Linked DNA regions of Arabidopsis thaliana. The protein of the gene in region 3 interacts with the protein of the main gene of each other region in a pairwise test. Each region holds a gene or a part of one and is shown on either strand. Other genes may lie near its edges.

Region 1 (7,020 bases), on a different chromosome or scaffold from region 3:
CTCTGAAGCAACTTCTCTTCCCAATTTTTATTTTGATTTAGAAATATACGTAATACTAATAAAATAATAATTAGTTGATTGAATATAGTTTGGTTTTTGGTATTTAAAATGTATTTATTTGCCAATCTCTCTACCGTTGTGGAAAAGTAGGCAAAGTATAGAGTCCCCTACCGTTGCGACAATGATAAGTTTCTCTCACGTTGTCTCATTCCTCTCTTTATTTTGTTTATTATACTCACCAAAATTTTATACTATTTTTTAATTAATAGTTTTATTTTTATTTTATAATTTTGTACATTTTAAAAAGTTTTATTATTATTAGAATACTCTGCAGATTTCAGATGGCATATTGCAAAACTGCTATAATCCAAATGAGGAAAACATAAATACATGTAAACAATCCAAGAATGAATTGGTCCAATAGGAAGATATTTTCTTAGAGAGAGATATTTCATTTTATATGAATTCAGATTTTTATATTTTATTTAGTAATATATATGTAATTTCGGTAAGTTTGCTTTCTTTTTGTAGGTGAAGATAACAATCCTGATTAATTTTATGTTTGGCAAGAAATAGTATATGATTCTCAACTTTCTAATTAAATTATTTTGGGTTCGTTGTATTTGTTTAGTCTTTTCTGATATGCTTTTATTCCAAAGAGGTTATATGCTTCTTCTTCCTTTTTCCCTCTTCTTTTATACTAGCTTACTAAATTAATAATTAGAGGTATGCTAATCTTAATTAAATTATATTGCAAATTGCTTTTATAGATATTGTAAATGACGTGTGTACCTTTTGTGTGGCCAGGTCTTGTCAAATCTTTCGCTGAAAACAGGTTATTGTGTGTTATATCAACAACTTATCATTATTAACACAAAATATCTTTGTAACATGGATTAAAAACAAAGCAGCTAGTATATATTATTCACATGAAAAGATTAAAAAAAATTGTGCGACTAGTAGATTTGTGATCGCCCCTTTATAAAGTTTGACTAGATCACTAGACTACATTTAATTATTTACAAAGTCTCAACGATTCCTTTCATCGTGAATGGGATATTATTGGGAATAAAATCACGAATTTCTAAAAGTTGCACAATAATATATATTTTTTTGTAAGATGGTACACAATAATATTTTAGTTATACTATAACCAAAGAAAAAAAAAAACTATTTACACCATATTAATTATTTCTATATGAAGAGATTTTCTACTTAACGCGCTTACTTTCGTATTAAGATAAAGTATCTACGCACTGTAGACACGTACGTCGGTGCATCATGCATGTAACCCTTAAAAGGCCTTTTTACGGCCCGTTACTGGTCCATATTAAATTCTCTACATAACCCTTTATACTTAGCCCAAAACAGAATTTCATTTTTATTTCTTTTTCGAAAATGGAAGAAATTCTCACTGGTGAAATTCGGTGAAAGAAAATGAAACAACAGTTACAGAGAAACAAAGAACGTACGAGAGAAAAAAACAAATCAGAGAGCTGAAGCTTTCTCTTGCTCAGCTATGGAGTCACGAACTGCTTTCAAAAGCAGAGGCATTAGCTTCTCGTTAGCAACGATAATGCCTGTGTCCAAATCAAGATACTTCCCTTTCGAGAAATCCAGTGGCTTTCCTGCTGCATCTGTCACTATTCCACCCGCCTCTGCACCAAAAAGAAGAATCAACCTTGCATTCCTTATCTATTTACATCCGCATGTCGACACTATAAAATTAGCTTCATAGAGAGTAAGCTTTAATGTTACCTGTAACAACTATAGCACCAGCGACATGGTCCCAAATCTTTTCGCGGTATCCTTTATGAGGAAACCGTAAGTATATAGCTCCATCTCCTCTTGATAAAGCTCCATACTTTGCTTGGCTATCAATACGGACTGGTGGAGCTTTGACACCGAGTTTCTGTATATTACAACATAGAACATGATCAAATGGATGAGGAAAATTAGTTAGCTATTAGCTGGAATCACATGGAAGGAAAGAAGCAATTTACATTGGCAATGGAGCTGGATAAGTCATGTAGAGAGTGAGCTCCTTCGAATGACTCGAAGAACGATGCCTCTTCAGGATTCTCAACACTAGAGACTTGCACTTTTACAGGAGAAGATTTTGAATCTAGGAGCTGCATATATGTCCCTGAACCAATTGTAGCAAAGAAGAGGCATCCAATTTCGTCTGACGAAGATTTGTTCTTGTTGTTTCCTGCTATGGATGCTAACGGCAAGTTTGGACAAGCAAGCACACCTAAAACTACTTTCCCTTCCTCGAGCAATCCTAGTGCTACTGCGTATTGATCTCCCCTCAGAAATCTAAAATCATGAAAATGCTCAGTGTCAGGAACATAACATCTGACTCAACATTCTATCAAATTTACATTTTCTCTGAAATAAGAAGATTTGACTTTAGGCTAGTTAGTTTTAAAACGTACCCTTTAGTGCCATCAATTGGATCCAAGACCCAGTGTCGACCATTTGGACCACCTTCAGATGTTCCACAGTCAATGGCTCTAAGTAGATCATCAGTAGACAAAGTAGAGCCATTAAACGATTCCTCGGTAGCCAAAGTGTCGTTCACGAGTTTTGTGATGCGCTCCAGAGTATCCTGAGAACCATCCTTGCGTAGATCGCCTGAGTCCTATATAGATCATTTTAGACAATGTGAGTCCATAAACACAAACTCAAAGATAAGTAAAGTGTGAGACATCTAACAAGGATTTATTAAGCAGTTTCACCTCTTCAGCCACCAATGAAAAGGGTTCAGAACTGAGCTCTTTTTCTAAGACTAAACTAACAACTGCTTGTGAACCTGAAATTCAACACAAGACAGATCAAATTAAGTGATTTCCTAACAATCTCAGTAACATTCAAAGAGAAGAGCTTTTTCTAATCAGGGACAGGTATAACAAACTAACCATAATCAGCAACGGTCACTGGACTTTTATCAGATTTTGATTGCACATCTGATTGCAACAAAGCCTTTTGAACTTTCTGAAACAAACCCAAAACACAAAGATAAGATTTTGATCAAAGATTTACACGAGCTTCGTATGTAGAGGACCATTACACTATATCACTAGAATCTATTCCCAATTACAGATGCAATGCACAATAAACACAAAATGTTAAACGAAATTTGGAAGATTTACAAAATGGGTTTCTTAAAGAATCAAACTTTAGAATCTATGGGTCATGATTGAATCGAAAAAACCCTAACCTGACAGAGACGAGCAGCGAGTGAAGCAGCTTTCTTAGCAGCATCAAGCTCTTTCTCGTAAGCCATCGATGAAACAACTCTGAGAGTAACAAATGAAGGAGAAGAAGACTTGCGTCCGAATACAGAAACGAGACGGTTCGATGAATTTCTAGGTCTCGAATTCGTTCTTACTGCTACAAATGATTGAAGCGGAGCCTTCGCTGTTCGAAAACAATTTATAGACATCATTCGCTTTTCAAGAAGATAAATATATGTCTTCACATTTTCTGATTGCAGAGACAATTATTATTACTTTTTTGAATTTCCCATTTACACCAGTGTACTTATTTATTCTCTGAACTTAAACCCTAAACTTTATTTTAGATCAAGAAAGGCCATATTTGCTCTGTTGGTTTAGGGGTCCATGTGGCACCAATTGAAAGAACAAGTACAAACGGTGAAAATCATAAAAATAAAAAACTTTAGTGATCTTCGTAGATTGGTTGTTGAGTTTTGGGCTAATCGCACGTGGATGTTGTGGTTGAAACATAAGTGAATTTATAGGTGGTGAAGATACAAAAAGGCTTCTTGATGAATGAAGAAGCCCAATAAAAACGGTTCTGGGTTAATATATTTTGAGGGAATCAAAAGCCCAAATAATTTTCTTCAGACAAGAGCTACAGCTTTGCCACGTTGTCCACATGAATCATGTTGAAATTTGGTCTATGATTTTGGGTTATGGATAAATCATTAATGACGCAGAGACAAGACTAAAAAAGATTTCTAGATTGATGATGGCGTGTGAGAGAGCAAAATACGTTTTGATTATTTGCCGGCGCAAGCAAAGGGTCACGTTCCACTAACTTTCAAGATTCAACAAAACCCACTTTCTATAGTTTTATATGTTCATTTTTTTCTGCTAAAGTATTTTTATATGTTCATATTTCTCTTTTGTGCCATCTTTTTAATAATTTAATCTTCCTACAGAAGATAATCTCCAACAAAAGTTTTTTCTTACAAGAAAGATTCCGAGAAGTCTTTTGTGTTTTCAACAAACTCCAGGTTGATATATACTTGCCACTTGTGTAACTGTATCTTTTATTCTTGATTTTGATTGGTTTCTTCTCCAAAGATTGGATTTCTGAAGGTTCTTGTGCTGCAGGGTTTTTTCAATGAACATGAGCAATAAACGTAATCAGCAACCTTCGTATATTGCTGATCATTTCAGCAGTTTGGATCAGGTCTCATAAACTTACTTAGTTATTTCTTGATTTTAGTCTCTTTCATAGTGATGAATTTCTTGTGAACTTTGCTTTTTAGGTGATAACTTCTCTGAGAGAAGCTGGACTTGAATCTTCAAATCTGATTCTAGGAATTGACTTTACCAAGAGCAATGAGTGGACAGGTAATTATTTGATTTGATAAAAAATGCTACACATGTTTACGAAAAGATTCAATGGTTTTGGTTAATGTTCTGAATTTTCATTGCAGGGAGATATTCATTCAATAGAAAAAGCCTTCATGCCATTGGTAAAAGACAGAATCCATATGAGAAAGCAATATCGATTATTGGTCGTACTTTGTCTCCCTTTGATGAAGATGATCTTATACCTTGTTTCGGTTTTGGCGATGGTTAGTTTCTTATTTCTTGCTTTCAAGATGAATGAATAAGATAAACCAAAGTTCTTAATGGTTTTATGTTTTCTTCTTCCTGCAGTAACAACGCGAGATCAATATGTATTCAGCTTTTATCCCGAGAACAAAAGCTGCGACGGATTGGAAAACGCAGTTAAAAGATATAGAGAGATTGTCCCACATTTGAAGTTGTCCGGTATTTTTGAACTTTCAAAAATGGAGCAGTTTTGTTCTCTCTTATCGTAAAGATTAATCAGTGTATTCTTCCCTCACAGGTCCTACCTCGTTTGCACCGGTTATTGATGCTGCCATCAACATAGTTGAGCAGAACAATATGCAATACCATGTTCTCGTCATTATCGCAGATGGTCAGGTCACAAGAAATCCAGATGTGCCGCTTGGTCGACTTAGTCCACAGGAAGAAGCTACTATGAACTCGATAATGGCAGCGAGGTAAAACTATTCAATAAGCTCATATTCATGATCAGACTTCATATGTATACTAATGATGTTTGATATAAATTTTCCAGCCATTACCCATTGTCGATAGTCTTGGTTGGAGTAGGAGATGGACCATGGGACACAATGAAACAATTCGATGACAATATTCCTCACCGTGAATTCGATAACTTCCAGGTAATATAATAAAACCCTGAATAGCTCTGTTTTGTTCCTGAAACATGAATCATGAAAAACTGTGTTTTGTTCCACAGTTTGTAAACTTCACGAAGATAATGTCAGAGCACAAAGATGCGGCTAAGAAGGAGGCTGCTTTCGCACTCGCAGCTCTCATGGAGATCCCTTTTCAATACAAGGCTACATTAAGTCTCAAGTAAATGCAATAAAAAATTTACCGTTGGAAACTACTTGTATCACTCACTGTTTATGGTCTTATTGCATTAGATTCTTTGCCAACTAAACCAACCTTTGATTGTGCTTATGAACAGTAGAAAACCAGTGCGCAGTTCCCATCAGCACCACAAGCCACTCCCGCCACCACCAGAGGTTATAGAGCGTGACAATGCTGTTAGATCGGTGCCAAATCAGATGACAGAAACTGCAGAGAAAAGTGACAGACTCGCTCCTTCCACAGTGCCGGTAAATACTCTATTATTTCTGCCTTTGTTTCTGTTCTTTTGTCAATGAGTATACTCAGTTTCTCTGATACTGAGATTTACATTCCTTTTGTTTTTCAAAAAGGTATGCCCGATTTGCTTGACGAATCCAAAGGACATGGCTTTTAGCTGCGGTCACACGGTATGTGAAAATTTCAAAGGAACAATTATACTCTTACTTGTTCTATGAACTGTACTGCTTCTAGATCGATTTTGTGACATCTCCGATACTTTTTATTTCAAATAAAGACATGCAAGGAATGCGGAGTTGTTATCACAACATGCCCACTATGCAGACAACCAATAACAACAAGGATAAGGCTGTACACTTGACTCGGAAAAATTCTTAGAGATGAGACAAATTATATGGTTAAGCACTTGAGCTTCATGTTTATACTTCTGTAGAACATTGTACAGTCCAAGCAGAAGAATTGTAAAGCATAAATCTCGAGTTGTAGTTCATATGTAATTCTTAGCCTGCCGAAACAAGGAGATATGCGAGAAGAGTTCTCTTTTTGTATTAATCAACAGCTACGTACAAATAAGCCGAAGAGGTCCTTTTTATAACATTCCAAAGAGACCTACAAGTTCTAAATCAAGCGGAAAGTGTAACAGCAACGATACCAATGGAAAAAAGAGAGAGCTAAAAACAACCTTAAATACTTATTAGAAGCTCCAACGGTCGAGTTGTTGCCTGGCTACAGCCATGTCTTTTTGTGCTTTCATTCTCCGGTAAAATATTGGACAATCTCGACTGTAAAAGACCAATAAGAAATCCAGAAAGGAAATTGGATCAGAACCTATTTACCTGCTGAAAGATTTCTAAAAGAAATTGATATCGATAAAAATATAAGCAAACCTGGTGCACAAGACATCTTGATGAAGAGAGCCTTGACACTCCTGGCACTGTGTCCACAGCCTCCCAAAAACCTCTTCAAGCTCAGCCACTGAATAACACAACGAAAGTATCAAATTTTATAGATATATCAAAGAGTCTATAGGAAAGGGAAAAACGGCAGCATACCTTGAGACACGTTTTTGCAATATAACTCGGCTTCTCTTCCCTTG
Region 2 (5,512 bases), on a different chromosome or scaffold from region 3:
GACAAAGATGATTCACCAAGCAACTCCACATGTATGTCACAACATTTCATTAAATACTTTTCTCTTACTCCTATTTAATAATTACTCCTTAGATACATCTTTCTGACAACAATTATAAACTTTTTTAGAATTACTAAAATGAAACTACTGGCACAAATTGAAACCCCCGAAATTTTCATTTTTTATTTATAAAAAAAACTGTATAAACATTATGGTCAACAATAAATTATATACCAAATCTAGTTTTGGTTTGTTAACTATTTAATACCTAACTTATAACCAAAAAGCATGTCATTATCACTTTTAAACTCTTCATTTAATCTAATCGAATAAAATGTTTAAATAACTCCATCTTTTATGGAGTACATTTTATTTTTCTATTTCTATTCATTCATTCCGTGCTTTACACATCAACGTTGAAATTAAGAACCAAAATTTAATTTAAAAAATCACGTAATACAGTAAAACCTATCAATAAATGCATACGATGCGACTTGCCACTGAAAAGAGTTTGAACCATATTAATCTTATTTCTCCTTAACCGGATTCGGTTTACCATAGACCAAACCCAAAACCGGCTTCAACTAATTACACTCAATTCCTCGGGAGATTGTTAATTAAACAGTAAACAACCCTCTGACTCACTAGACTTCTGAATCTTTCACAAAAGAATACGTCTTTGTAGGCTTTTGCTTTCTACCGTTGCTTACAAGCTTCCTCTCCACCGGATTCTCCTTCAATTCTCCATCTTTATTTGTGTAATAAGAATCCAGAATTTGCAATAACGAGCTCTCTTTACCTTCTTTACTCATCATCTGTTGCTTCTTCTTCTCTGGGTTATCTCTCTCTGAACCAGAATCTTCTTCATCCTCTGAGAGTGATGGTTCATATACTGGAAGCTTTTTGGTCGTCGGGTGGGTAGTTGTTGTATCAGAAACTGGACCAAGTTCTGCGAATGCCAAGTCCGAATCATCTTCTTTTGACTTGGCATTTGGTGAAGGAGTTGAAGGAAAGATGTATCCAGATGCTATTCTCACTCCATGCATGACTCGAATCAGAGACTGCAGGTTGTCGTAACCGAGCTTGTCAACCGCTAAATGGTACCCATACTCCTCTAAGAAGTCTTTCCTGAAACGAATCAGGCTATACCCTTCAGGGTGTTCCTCTGTTATCTTCTTTATCATCTTCTGACAATCCGCTATTGCATTACTTTTGTATCTTTCCAGCTCTTTCCGGTCCACAGAACCAACAGAAACTCCAGCATGAGCAACGTTCTTGCCGCTTTTCTCACCATTTTGTTTCTGCCACTGTGATTTTGAAGAATCCGAGAAGATTGAGCTCAAACCGTTTGAAGCATGACGGTGGCCAGGGCTAGATCCTTTGATGATTCTGAATGGTAAAGAAGAAGATGGGGTTTCTTCAATCCATTTCTTTTCTGATATTAGCAAAGTAACTAAATGAAGCATGCTTGATTCATCGAGCAGTCTGAGACACGAAGGCCCTTCCTCCTGCACATTTTTAGCCATCACCTCCCTGACCAGGTTAAGACGGAACAGCATTAGCTGAATACTCGTCCCAAAAAAGACAACAAATGGCTAATGCAAGAACCAATTGTAATAGTTCTGAACCTAAGATAGATTTACATATTAATCAATATCTAATCAAAGTCCTGCCAAATCAGGAGGGAAGAGAATGTACGCACCTTGTCCTCGAGTGAGATACTATAGCAAAGCCTCTTGGAGAATTAATGAAAGATTCAATATCACTCCAAAAATACTCTTTTGCAAATATGTCTTGTACTTGAGAATCAACATTGACAAGCTCCTGATTCCCACTAGAGTCTTTGCTAGACTTTGTATTCTTTCCCCAGAACTTGAAACTCTTCAAAAGGCGACCTAAAAAGCCTGGACTTGCATCTTTATCTTTACTGTCTACGTCATCAGCTCCAACTTTTACCTCATCGACCGACTCAGCAACGAAAGAAGGTGAGATTTGAGACATGGGCACAGTTCCCTGACTCGATGACTTTAAGTCCTTATCCTCTTTATGTTTGTTTCCACTTCCCTGACTTGATGACTTTAAGTCATTATCCTCTCTATGTGTGTCTCCACTTCCAGAAACGCTCTTCATTTCTGGGAGATGCTCTAATTCCATCTCAGGTGAACCATACCACAGTCTTTTTAGCTTTTGAAAAAAGCCATCTTCCATGGACGAATCACTCCACGCAACAAGAGCGACTTGATTCGTCTCGACGGGTTTAACATTTGCCTTAACATCCTTCTGGCCGACCAGAATTGGGTCTTGAGAACTCTCTGATGATTCTTCTTTAACAATTTTATCACTCTCCAATACCTTTTCCTGCTTCTTTCCAAGTAAGCCATCTCTTCTTCTTTCAGCAGCAAGCTCTACATCGCTAATTAGCTTTGGTGATGGAGCATTAACAGTTTCCTTATCTTTAATCTTCTGATCAACAGCAGTAGACAAACGAGGACTAGAATCAAGCCGCATCGGAGGCTTCTTTTCGGTAACAGCCCGAATCATAAACAAGCCTTCACTTACTGTAGTAACCTGTAAGATATCTGGCATGGATAAAAGAAACTTCGAAAACTTCTTATGTCCATAGAAATCTTTATCAATAGCCAAGTTGCTCTTACTCAGCTCAGCACGTAGTTCTGTAATGGCAGCCCCCTTGGGATATAAACTCACTATCGAACGAATCTTATCAACAACTTCTTTTGGAATAGGACGAAGGTTAACAACAGCATTCGAATTCACAGACTCGGATAGTTCTTCGATTTTCACACTAGACGAAGATTGCTCAGTAGTGGTAGCAATAGCAAATGGATCAAGAAGAGGAATCCTATAGTGACCATACCAAGAGTTATAAGGACCATCAGGAGGCTGATTAAAATGCTTACCAGTAACACACTCTCCTTTAATCAAAGCATCCCAATCCCACATAATAGAAGCAGCACTACACAAAACACCAGGAGCTGATGATTTACTCGCAAGCAAAATGTTGTAATTGTTCATCCTCAATCTATGTAACACACTTGCAAACTCCTTATCACTAGAGATTAGCAAAAGATGAGCTGGTGGTGGATTCTGAGAAACCCAACACATAAGATCTGTGATTAGAGATCTATCAGCACTGTTCTTACCACCGTTAGGAACATGAGTGAGACTGATTCCTGTAGCGGAGAGAGCGTCTTGGTTTGATCTGGGGAGCTGTAAAACGTCACCGAAGGCTGTGATTGTGATTGGTCCTTTGATTCCGCTGTTTCTGATAGCGGCGGTGATTGATTGTGCTACTTTGTAGACATTGGTGTCTACAGGTAAGTTACAGCTCAGGAAGTCCCACCAGACCGAAACCCTAACGGATCGGGACTCTTCGTCTTGCTGAGGACGTCGAGAGGGAGAATGGCTGGATCCGGAGACGAAATTGGAGCCGGAGGTGGTTGTGGTGGAGAATGGAGAGGAATGAATGTTAGTGATGAAAAGGGTAATTGTTCGACGGTGAGATTGGGTTGTGGAGGAAGAAGAGAGGCGGAAGAGAAGGGATTTGGATGGTAAAGATCCAAACTTCATGGTCGGAGAGCTATTTTTGCTCCGGGAAATGGAGAGACTGAGAGGGTTTTAGGAGTGAGGAAGACGAAGTAAAGGAAAGCAGAGCTTAAACCCTAGTTATTATTTTGGAATTGTCGATAACCGAATGGTATCCCAATTGAACCAAACTAAACCGTACTCTCGCTAAACCAAAACCAAATAGCGTATGGTTTAATATTCTAATTCAATGAGTACAGTAATTAGGGATTTCAATTTTTGTTTGAGAGAGAGAGAGAGAGATGGTGACGAAGGAGCAAGTCGAAGCTTCATTGACTTCGAAACTTAAGCCAATTCATCTCGTGAGTGTTCTTATACTGCTTTCTTCTTTCAATTTCATCTATTGATTAGGGTTTGAAACTTTTGTGGGAAACTTTGAAACCCTAATCATCAAATTGATCTGGGAAAATTGCCAAATTTGAGATTTTTGACCTGCTCACTTTGATCAAAATCATACACTTTGATAGTTGGATCATAAGAGGTACTATGTATTGTAATAATCTCAGCATCTAGATTATACATCACTATGTGTTGTCTTTCAGCTCTGAAACAGAATATAAAAGGTGGTTGTTTGCGTAGTTAGGTGTAATTTGATGCAGTGTGATACTGAGCTCAGGATTTGATGACGTAGTGTTCCTGATGTATTAGCAACTTAGTAGTGAGTGTTCTTGTCGGAAAATTTTATTTGTGTCATGGTTTTTTGTGAACTAGAACTCAAAAAGCAGATCCAAGGATGTGTATAGTTTCTTTGCTTTATAACATGTGAAGATTGAAGTTACTTCAATGTCAATCTATTTCCCTTTTCACTTGATTCATGTGTTCCAATTGTTTCAATCTTTAGCTTTTAGAATTTTTTAGTGACATTGTTTGTTTTTGTGTGTACCAGGAAGTCATTGACATATCTGGAGGGTAAGTACCGGATTGTCAATACACATTTGATTCTCTGGCTTATGGCATAATTTCTTGTTCTTAATATCAGCAAAACTGTTTATTGCAGTTGTGGTTCGAGTTTTGAAGTGGAGGTTGTCTCTGAACAATTCGAAGGGAAGAGATTGCTGGAGAGGCATCGTATGGTGAATGCTGCGCTAGAAGAAGAAATGAAAGAGATTCATGCTCTCTCTATTAAGAAAGCTCAGACTCCACAACAATGGAAGCCACCATCACAAGACTCTGCAACCTTAACCAAAGATGCCTGAATTTCTGTTTTTTAAAAGCCTTGTGACAAAGAACAGAGCATTTACTATGTTGATACTTTGTGGTTACTGTACTCCGATTACTGCTTTTGATGAAGTGTAAACACTTTTTTAAAACATATGCAATTGGTTGCAAAATATAACAAAAATTGGGTTTTTCTCAATTTAGATGGAGATTTTTTTGAGAATTTTACCATGACACCATCTTAAAAAAGAAAAAAAAGACCAATGGGATTGGCTAAATTTTATAATAGAGTCAGTGCAGTGTATGGTGGGGGGGAGAGATAGATGCTAAAAGATGGATAAAATAACCAAAAAAAACTGTCCATTCTCCTCCCCATAAATCTATCTCTCTCTCTTTTTCCTCAAATCCCATCTTCTTCTTCTACTTCTTATTAAGCTCCATTGGGTTTAGAGATTCTGGTGTATAAACTGCTAATGACGAGTAACCTTTTCCAGCCACCATCAATGGCAGCTTCACGAGGAGCAATCTCGAGAAGAACAGGAAACGTGAAAGTATTAGTCTCTTTCACCAGTTCTAATGGCAAAACGCTGAGTTTTAGTGACAACTCATTTAGGCTCAGACCCATGTTCATCGGGAAAGTCACAGAACAGAGTTCTTGTTCCTCCCCAAATGAACAACAACAAGATGAAGAACAAGAACAAGAACAAGAAGAGATTACAGTTTCTCATATAAAAGAAGAGCTCTACGAAGC
Region 3 (8,933 bases):
TGGACATCAGATCTTTAGTAACAATACAGACCACAAATTAAGAAACAATAACTCAACATTTAAGAGAACAATCAGATTCATGAAAAAATCAAACAAACAGGTCGGTGAAAAAATACCCATCAAAATAACAGTAAGATATGGCGAATGAAAGACGGAATAAGAAAAACTAAACTTTGCGTCTAAACAGTACATGATGAGGAAAATGATTGCTAATTAATTAATTAATATGACAAAAATGAACTCAACAATCTTTTATGATTATCTGTTCAATGCCCAAGGAAGACTAATTTCCTAACATTTGTGATTGTAAAGTGACAAATGAATAGTCAATGTCTACAATATAGCTCAAAAGTTACAGACTATCAATATGCTAGTTAGTTGTATTAAATCTCGATATAGAATTGGTTACTAAATCTGTATCGTATCTTACCTGGATGACAGAGAACAGGCGGAAGGCACGATCCTGGCCAGCAGACAAAATGTGCCGTCCATTAGAGTAGAACCTACCACAAGTAGAAGTCAGATATGATTAAGAGACCCTTTATTGGCATGCCCTCGATATAGCCACCATGAAGTAAATACTCTTATTAAGAAACACAAATATTCATCACTACACAGATAGTCAACTGGCAGGGATCATAAATGGAATTACTTTAACAACGAATAGGGATCATAAATGCTACTTACACACCAAAATGTATAAAGTCTCACAATAACGAAAGAAAAGCTAAATGGAAGCAATCAGATAATTCAGTATGATGTGGACGTCAAGCTAATTACCTGATACATAGAGGAGGAGCACTATGCCCAGATCGGAAGCGTAATAGGCGAGGATCACCATCATTTGTGTCAAAAATCCACATCTACAGGAACGAGGCATAAAACAAATATTATATGTGGCAAAGTGGATGCAAATAGGTTCAACGGGTAAGAGGAATCTTAGCTTACTTTAAGTGAGTTATCTGCTGATGCACTCATTAGCACCGGCTCATTGGCTAAAAAGTTCAATGAGATTATAGAACTGTCATGTGCATCCCTAATGACTGACTGAAGCCTTTTTTTGTTAAGATTCCAGATGCTTATGACACCAAAGGAACCTCCAGACGCAAGAAGGGGACGTCCATCTAACATGACAGGATAAACAACACATGTTAGAACTGGAAAGTATCGAACTTCCATTAGCTATAGAACGGTTACTACCAAAAGTTACTAGTAAAATTACAACCTACACTAATGGATCTCTTGAGCCTGAAACATGTATGGACAATTCTAATTCATGAAACAATGGGTGCATAGATGGTAAAGCTATGTAATGGAAAAATAAATATTTAGCTCCACTTAAAGACAAATGGACGAAATTATTTTTGGTCACTACACTCATAGGATATCTATCAGCAAGAAAAGATTGATAAACTATTATCCGCTACGAAATTAGATTTAAAAGGTAATAAAACCAAGAAGCGCTCAAAGATTTTACAAATAGAACTACAGGGCTTAGGTGTTTACCTGTACTGAAAGACAAAGCAGTAACAGCACCTCGCGAGGCATGTTCAAATGTTACGATCTCTTCGTCCAATTTTATGTTATGTACATGGATCTTTCCATCAGCACAACCAATTGCAACAACATCCAGGGCAGGGGATGAAACACAACTGGTGACAGATGAACCCCAACCCTTAAACTGATAGAGCATCTTCTTAGTATTAATATTCCATAGCTGCAGCGGACCCTCTTGGCTCCCTACAAGAACCTACCAATGTGGTTCCAAGTAAGAGAAACATGCAAAGAGTTAGAAAGGCTTGTCAACAGAAGACACCAGGGGAAAAAAAACTGAAATCCTGAACCAAGTATGACTCACCTTGTTGAGATAGGTATCTGGGTGAACAATAGAGGTAGGGGTAAACTTTCCAGTAAGCTGAAGATTTCCAATTGGAGCTAGATGTTCTTCGATTCCTTTGAATGCCCATATGAACATATTTCCTTCCACGTCAAGACTAAGCACATGTTCTCCAAACACCAGTAGAAGATCAACTTTAGCAACATGTTTGCTCCAAGTTGCTACCTATAGATATACCCACAAGAATTCCAACTATAAACAAAGTACTCATAGATATAAAAAAAGCAGCAACTTAACTATAGTTACAATGAGATATACCTGATGAGCACGCCTAAAGACAGCGATTTCATTGCCAAACGCAACAAATGTGTAGTCTCGGTAAGAAGCTAAAGCTCTAATTTTCTTTGGAAGCTGAGGACCTTTAAGATAACACAAATTAGATTATAAGAAAATTTACACTGCATAGACAAAACCCAATTCTAAATGCATGAATTTGAGTAAGAGAATGATTGAAAGGACAAAACTTTAGGTTTCAGAAGAAGGAAAAACTTACTGATTATGACTAGATTGAGCTTGGCACACTGCAACAAGAGAACCAAATTAACAACAGAATCGAATGAATAAAGAACACGCAAGTGAAACTATGAAGATTGGGAGCGTTACATTATAAATCTGGAAAGCTTTGCCGACGCTGACGGTGACGAAAGTCTCGGTACCCAATCGCTGGACGGAGAACGGAACCGTACTCGTTATGTAACCTATTGCTCTAAACGGTTCGAAAATTCCCATCTTTCGAGTTCGAACAAGAAATTAGGGTTTCCTCGGAAAAACGATTTTAGGATTATCAAATCAAAGAAAGGTTTTTTAAGAGCTTGAGAGAGAAAACGCGGCGCAGGAGCGATGGAGGAGATACAGCAAACAAGACCTTTGGGGTTTAGGGTTTAACGAAATTTCTTTGTCCGAATTTTAATTTTATTTTCCGGTTTAAGTGTCCGCTCGGTTTATACAGGTTCTTTATTTGGTTTGGAGAATGTTAAATTTGGTTTGGTAAAATTATGGTTCGGTTTTGGCTAAAAGTCATTGAAATGTAAAACCAAAACCATTTTAGTTTAATATTTAACTAATTGTCAATATCAGTATCAATTTTAAAATTATGATGACTTTTGGTTTAAATCTTGTTTAAATGTACAAAGTCTCGGTTAATGCTCGATTGCAGTTTGGTCTAAACTCTAAACAAATGATTTCCATTCGGTTTGATTCTAAGAAATTTGAGTTTAATCACACAAAATCCCAGCCGTCGGATCTTAAGAAACTCTGTAACATAGAAAGATTGGTGTTAATCCTAGCCGTCGGATCAAGCTTTCTTTGTTTAAACCACTCTTTGTTTTGTTACTCAGTCTAAAAGCAAATGTGGTCAAGATAACCATAAATAAAGATTATGTTGATACAAAGAGAGAAAAATAGTTATGAATCTAATAGACTCAGCAATAGAAATAACAAGACAAAGCTTGAGAAGCAACAATATCAATGTTTGTAACACCTAAAACATATTATTACCATAACTGAAATGTTCTCTCTCACCAAGGCAAACCAGCAGACAGAGACTTGTATATATTACTTACTCGGATAGAGTTGCTTTGAGATCACCACTCTCACTTAGCTCCATAATGATATCACATCCTCCAATTAACTCACCTTTGTAGTATAGCTGAGGAAAAGTTGGCCAGTTTGAGAAATTCTTAATCCCTTGCCTTACTTCTTCATCAGTCAAGATATCAAACGATCCGAAACTCACGTTTTCTCCTCTCAATGCTTTCACAACTTTGGAGCTAAATCCGCATTTCGGTTCATCTGGTGAACCTTTCATGAATAGCATTACTTCCGAGGAATTGATCAGTGCCTTCAATCTATCTTCAAGACTCTGTTCTCCAGTGATCCCTTTCTCGGTCAAGACCTTTTTCAGCTCACCGCTCTTTTGCATCTCCAAGACAATGTCTGATCCACCCATAAGCTCGCCTTTCACGTAAAGCTGAGGATAGCTTGACCAGTTTGAATACACTTTAAGGCCTTGGCGAACTTCGTCATCTAAGAGGATATCGAAACTCCCAAACTCGATTTTTTCTTGGTTGAGGATTTCAACCACTTTCCCACTGAACCCACACTTTGGTTCTTCTGGTCTTCCTTTCATGAACAGCATAACTGGTTTGGAATTGACCAGACCTTCGAGCCGAGCTCGGAGGGTCTCACTTAAGCCTGTGTTTCCTGAACTAACCCCTCCTCCTTTTCCAGCTTCATCCTGACTTTCTTTTGAACCAACTGTCGTGATCCCAAGATCTTTGAAAGCATCTTTTAGTTCACCGCTCTCGTGCATCGCTATTGCGATATCAGCTCCACCAAGAAGCTCTCCGTTGCAGTACAGCTGAGGAAACGTTGGCCAGTTAGAGAATTTCTTCAAACCCTCTCGCACTTCGTTATCCGATAGTATGTCAAAACTTCCAAAATCAACGTTAACCTCTTTCAAAATGTCAACTACTTTCCTGCTAAACCCACACCTAGGCTCTTCAGGAATACCTTTCATGAATAACATGACAGGGTGAGAATTAGTGAGCTTTTCCAAACGGCTCTTGAGAGCATCGGCGGTAGATACAGGCTGAGCTCGGTCTTGTAAAGAAGCTTTCGCATTCTCCTTCACAGTTTCAAGAATCGTTGGCCCAGCAGCCAACCCTAAGCTTGCAGGAGCAGCAGGCTCCGCAGAAGTACTAGAACCAGCAACTTTGCCAACCTTATTAGCTAAACTTGATGGATCTGCACCCTCAAGTGTATCCACAGTTTTACCATCCTTCAATAAGAAAACGAATTCACAGTCAGAAGAAAGTAACAACTTTCAGAACAATCATTACAGTGCAGTGACAAAGATTCAAGCTTTGAACACACTCTCAATCCTATAAAGACAGAAAATTGCAACCAACCAATTAAAACAAAGAATCAATAAGTCTGGAGCTAAATGGATAGGCGAACCATCTTCTTCTACTACCTGATTAGATAAACAGCTTTCAGTAATCTAACAGAGACGCAAACTAATCAAAACAAAAACCCTAAATCCTAAACTTTCGATCAAAACATAGGGACAAAGATTCAAACTTTTGAACACACTCTCAATGCTATAAAGACAGAAAATTGCAACCAAACAAAGCAACATAAAGAATCAATAAGTATGACTTCATCAATGTCTTCTTCTTCTACCAAATTAGACAAACAACTTTAAGCAAAAACAAAAACCCTAAATCCTAAGTTTTGATCAAATCATAGGGAACAAAAAAAACGTAACTTTACCTTGAAGAAGACGAAATAAGGCACAGCAGCAACAGAGTAAGCCTCAGATATCTCAGGATGTTCCTCAGCTTCAACCTAAGAAGATAAAACCAATAACAGTCAAAAACCTCATTGAAAGTGATAAAATTTTGAATTGGTCAAGAGAACAGAGACGAACCCTAAAGAAGTGAGCACGAGGGAAATCAGTAGCGAGATGAGAGAAAACTTGATCCATCTGCTTCGAAGCATCACACCAAGAAGCCCAGAAGTGAAGCACGACTGGTGCGCCGCTCTGGCGCAAGTTATCAAGCTCCGCCTTTGAAACGATATCCTTCACCGTACCGCTCATCTTCGAAGAGGGAGAAGGATCTCTTAACACTTTTTTTTTGTGTTGTGATTTACCAATTTATTATCGAGCAGAATACACTCTGTTGCTGGAGAAAGAAAGGAGATTTATGTAAATATAACAAAATAAAAGGACCTAACGATACAATTAGGGTTTTTGTGTGCCCAATGTGATGCTAAAATTGCTCACTTATGTAATTTCTTTTTATAAAAATAGTAAAATTATATATGTCAGCGGAAGGAAAAAAAAATTGGAAATTAAGTAAGGTAAAAATGTTAAAATTCTAGGTGATAACAATCTTTAAAAATAAAATAATTTTGAAAAATATTAGATACATTTAAATTAAAACTACTAAAAGTAAGTTTGACTAATAAAATCTTAATCCTATTTTTTTCTTTCTAAAATTAATACTAATTAGAGGAATTGTATATATCAATCCTCATCGAATTGGATTCTCATAAAACAGTCTAAGAATTAGGTTACAATTCTTTTTTTCTCCTTTGTTTTGTATGTGTGGAATTGTTTAATTCTGTTATATTAAAAATCCACAATTATTTTAGCATTTGTATTTTTAGTTATTTTATTATACTATCTTTTTTTTTAAATGATATAATATATAAGCTTACATCATTTAGATAATTGATGCATCTATTAATTTTTGTGTAACATCACTATTTAAAATGATACAAAATTTACATCAATGGAAACTGATACTAGTTAACGACTAATCATCGACTATAAAATGTGATGTAAATGTTTACTTAATTTGTCAAAATCCTACATTTCTCCCACAAAAAAAGAGGTTTCATAGTTTTCTTACATATAGTGACCTTGGTTTTTTGGTGGTGTAAAAAAATATAAAACTTAGTATGCAAAGTTTGCCTTCATATTAATTAATGAAATTACATAATACTTTTTAAAAACAATTAATTGAAAGTCATTTTATTTAATTAACATCGATTATCCTACTATATTATTTGGGAAGTACATTTTAAATGTAACCTTTATTTTTGTAATTAATTACATGATAATGCCATTAGAAAAATTTAATCAAAAACAAAACTCTTTAATGACGTCATTAAGGTTACCAAAACTTTGATAAATATAACGTGGTCTTACCTAGATATTCCTCTGGGTATTCTTGTGATTCAATTATGTTCACGTCTGATCGGCGAAGACGTTTAATAAGGGGTTTGTTCTCGGTGAGAAACCTTTTCCGAACATAAGCATCTACAGATCGGATGTAGAACCCACGTTGAGCCATAGTTTGTTTCATATTGTCAAGAACCGTTTTCAAGCTCAATTTCTTAGGGATGTGAACATATTCTACATCCCACAATTCCTTAAGAAAAAAGAAAAAAAAGTATACTGATCCGAAAACAATTAACAAAAAGCGAACAATATACTACTACATTACCTTCATAGGCTGCAATCCACCTCTATTAGTGACCACGTTGGTGCTTAGATCTTGCATTGGAGGAAATCCTTTTGGATGAGGAGTTTTTGATTTTGATAAAAACTCATCTCTACCACGTTCAACTTCTTTCTCTTCCTGTTTCTTCACACTGCGTCTTCCCTTTCCTCCAGGTTTTCCTCTTCCTCCAACCATTGTTGACAGAATCGGCGCAAAATGAGGGTTCAGACGAAATGATGGAGGTTTGTACGTATTCTACACCCTCGGTGATTTATTATATAAATATCAATTTAAGAGAATAACCTACTCAAATCACTAACTAATCCATGATTATTATATACTCATACTTTGAGTTTGGATTACAAAAAAAATATTCGAGTATGAAAAAACTATTAAAATGGTTTTATTGAAAAATCATGTAATATTAAAATAAATTTAGTAATAGTACATTAAATATGTAAAATAAAATAATATAAAAATAAATAATAAATGTATCATTAACCTATAAATTAGAAGTTGAAGAGCTTACATTAATTATTTAATAGACACATGACAAATATATATGATTTTGACCAACTTTCATATATATGATTTTGATAAACTGATGCAAATACTTAGAACACTTACAAAAAGTGATTTAAAAAGATAACATCTTTTTTTTTAGTTGACTCAAATTAACATTAGTTACAACAAGCAATGCAAATATTATGTATACTTTTAAATTATTTGCATCAACAATATATACATCATTTACTTAAGCGATATAAATTATTTGCATCAACAATATATACATGAGTCCACTAACCTTAAAGCCAACAACAAGATTTAGAGAGTCTTAAACTTACAATTGGCAAAAAAGACTCACTCATTACATCAACCATCTTGCAACATGAGAGCAACTCTTAATCGCATATTTACATTTGTTTAAATGGTGCAGATCAAGATCTTTTAAATCCCTTTTTAAGTTAAGTAGTTGCAAGTTGCAGAGACCCGCAAGCATCAGAAGCATGCTTGCCTTCTCCAAAAACCAAGTTCCCTCTCACAAATGTCGAAACCACTTTGCCTGATAATCTTCTTCCCAAATAAGCTGAGATACTCTATTGTACACCACAAGAAGCAAACATAACATAAAGATTACACATTCGTGTTATTCGAGCTTAACCATTAGCTATCTTTCTAGAAAAAACTGTGTACTTACAGGGTGTTTGAAGTGAATTGGATGATCTTCATCTACATCAAATTCGGCTTCAGGTTCCCACACAACAAGATCTGCGTGTTTTCCAACCGTAACCGCTCCCTATAATTAAACCATTACTTATAAGCTGCGATAAATGGACCCCGAATCCTAATAAAAACACGTCTATATTATGCCAGTGTGCTGTGTATGGACAAAAAAGAGAATACTGAAGCTGCGTTTTTTTTTATAATAACGAACCTTAGAGTGTAGTCCAGCGAGTTTGGAAGGCCTATCACTCCACCAAGAAGTTACCTGCTCGAGCGTTACTCCATACTTTTTTCCATAAGACCATGTGATAGGAAGAACAAACTGCAATTGGCTCTTCCATGAGTTTTTTTGTGCTCTCACAGTTTCTACATATTACATTTTTAAGACTAAACGAACCTGTAAAGAAGATATCCCACCCCAAGCTTTCAAGAAGTTGCCATCACTCATAAGTTTGAGTTCAGGCTTTGTAGGTGAATGATCAGAGCTCAGCATATCAATGTCTCCTTCCTAATCAAATCAAAACCTCAGAATCAACGAGTAAGGTATCACAACAAAGATTGCGTAAAATATATATTATACCATCAAAGCTTCCCACAATTTTTCTCTATTTGCCGCATCACGTATAGGAGGGGAGCATTTGAAACGAGTATCACCTTCTGGAATCTCTTCGGCTGAGAAAGCTAGGTAATGTGGACATGTTTCAACAGTAACACTGTCTCCTTTGCCTTTTGCTTCCTTTACTCCATCCAAAGACAAAAAAAATATGTAATGAGATACAACCAAATTCTAGTGCTTCTAC

What was found.
Region 1: the proteins of GRXS17 (region 3) and RGLG3 interact in a two-hybrid assay, tested with the Arabidopsis thaliana proteins (one study listed by BioGRID).
Region 2: the proteins of GRXS17 (region 3) and AT5G09830 interact in a two-hybrid assay, tested with the Arabidopsis thaliana proteins (2 studies listed by BioGRID).

The regions. Positions count from the first base shown.
Region 1 is NC_003076.8:25,606,271-25,613,290, reverse strand, and holds RGLG3 (Copine (Calcium-dependent phospholipid-binding protein) family), read left to right. Parts: upstream 1-3,984; 5' UTR 3,985-4,264; intron 4,265-4,303; exon of another isoform or gene 4,304-4,364; 5' UTR 4,365-4,374; coding exon 4,375-4,443; intron 4,444-4,522; coding exon 4,523-4,607; intron 4,608-4,693; coding exon 4,694-4,834; intron 4,835-4,919; coding exon 4,920-5,033; intron 5,034-5,112; coding exon 5,113-5,290; intron 5,291-5,367; coding exon 5,368-5,473; intron 5,474-5,550; coding exon 5,551-5,669; intron 5,670-5,784; coding exon 5,785-5,935; intron 5,936-6,037; coding exon 6,038-6,094; intron 6,095-6,201; coding exon 6,202-6,285; 3' UTR 6,286-6,520; downstream 6,521-7,020. Other genes in the region: SAL1 phosphatase-like protein, read right to left, coding at 1,489-1,658, 1,759-1,912, 2,004-2,319, 2,439-2,644, 2,742-2,815, 2,922-2,997, 3,224-3,289; AT5G63960 (DNA polymerase delta subunit 1), read right to left, coding at 6,619-6,706, 6,812-6,899, 6,977-7,020. UniProt on the Arabidopsis thaliana protein: Possesses E3 ubiquitin-protein ligase in vitro.
Region 2 is NC_003076.8:3,057,103-3,062,614, reverse strand, and holds AT5G09830 (BolA-like family protein), read left to right. Parts: upstream 1-3,789; 5' UTR 3,790-3,845; coding exon 3,846-3,905; intron 3,906-4,489; coding exon 4,490-4,512; intron 4,513-4,600; coding exon 4,601-4,799; 3' UTR 4,800-5,012; downstream 5,013-5,512. Other genes in the region: AT5G09840 (Putative endonuclease or glycosyl hydrolase), read right to left, coding at 645-1,533, 1,703-3,588; AT5G09820 (Plastid-lipid associated protein PAP / fibrillin family protein), read left to right, coding at 5,235-5,512. UniProt on the Arabidopsis thaliana protein: May act either alone or in interaction with glutaredoxin as a redox-regulated transcriptional regulator, or as a factor regulating Fe-S cluster biogenesis. The GRXS17-BOLA2 heterodimer binds a labile, oxygen sensitive iron-sulfur cluster.
Region 3 is NC_003075.7:2,514,427-2,523,359, forward strand, and holds GRXS17 (thioredoxin family protein), read right to left. Parts: upstream 5,637-8,933; 5' UTR 5,499-5,636; coding exon 5,328-5,498; intron 5,246-5,327; coding exon 5,171-5,245; intron 4,677-5,170; coding exon 3,456-4,676; 3' UTR 3,170-3,455; downstream 1-3,169. Other genes in the region: AT4G04940 (transducin family protein / WD-40 repeat family protein), read right to left, coding at 431-503, 781-863, 949-1,124, 1,507-1,750, 1,859-2,062, 2,156-2,256, 2,391-2,418, 2,501-2,626; ALN (allantoinase), read right to left, coding at 7,875-8,006, 8,108-8,206, 8,345-8,455, 8,531-8,641, 8,714-8,869. UniProt on the Arabidopsis thaliana protein: May only reduce GSH-thiol disulfides, but not protein disulfides. Participates probably to the maturation of iron-sulfur proteins and to the regulation of the redox state of the BOLA proteins.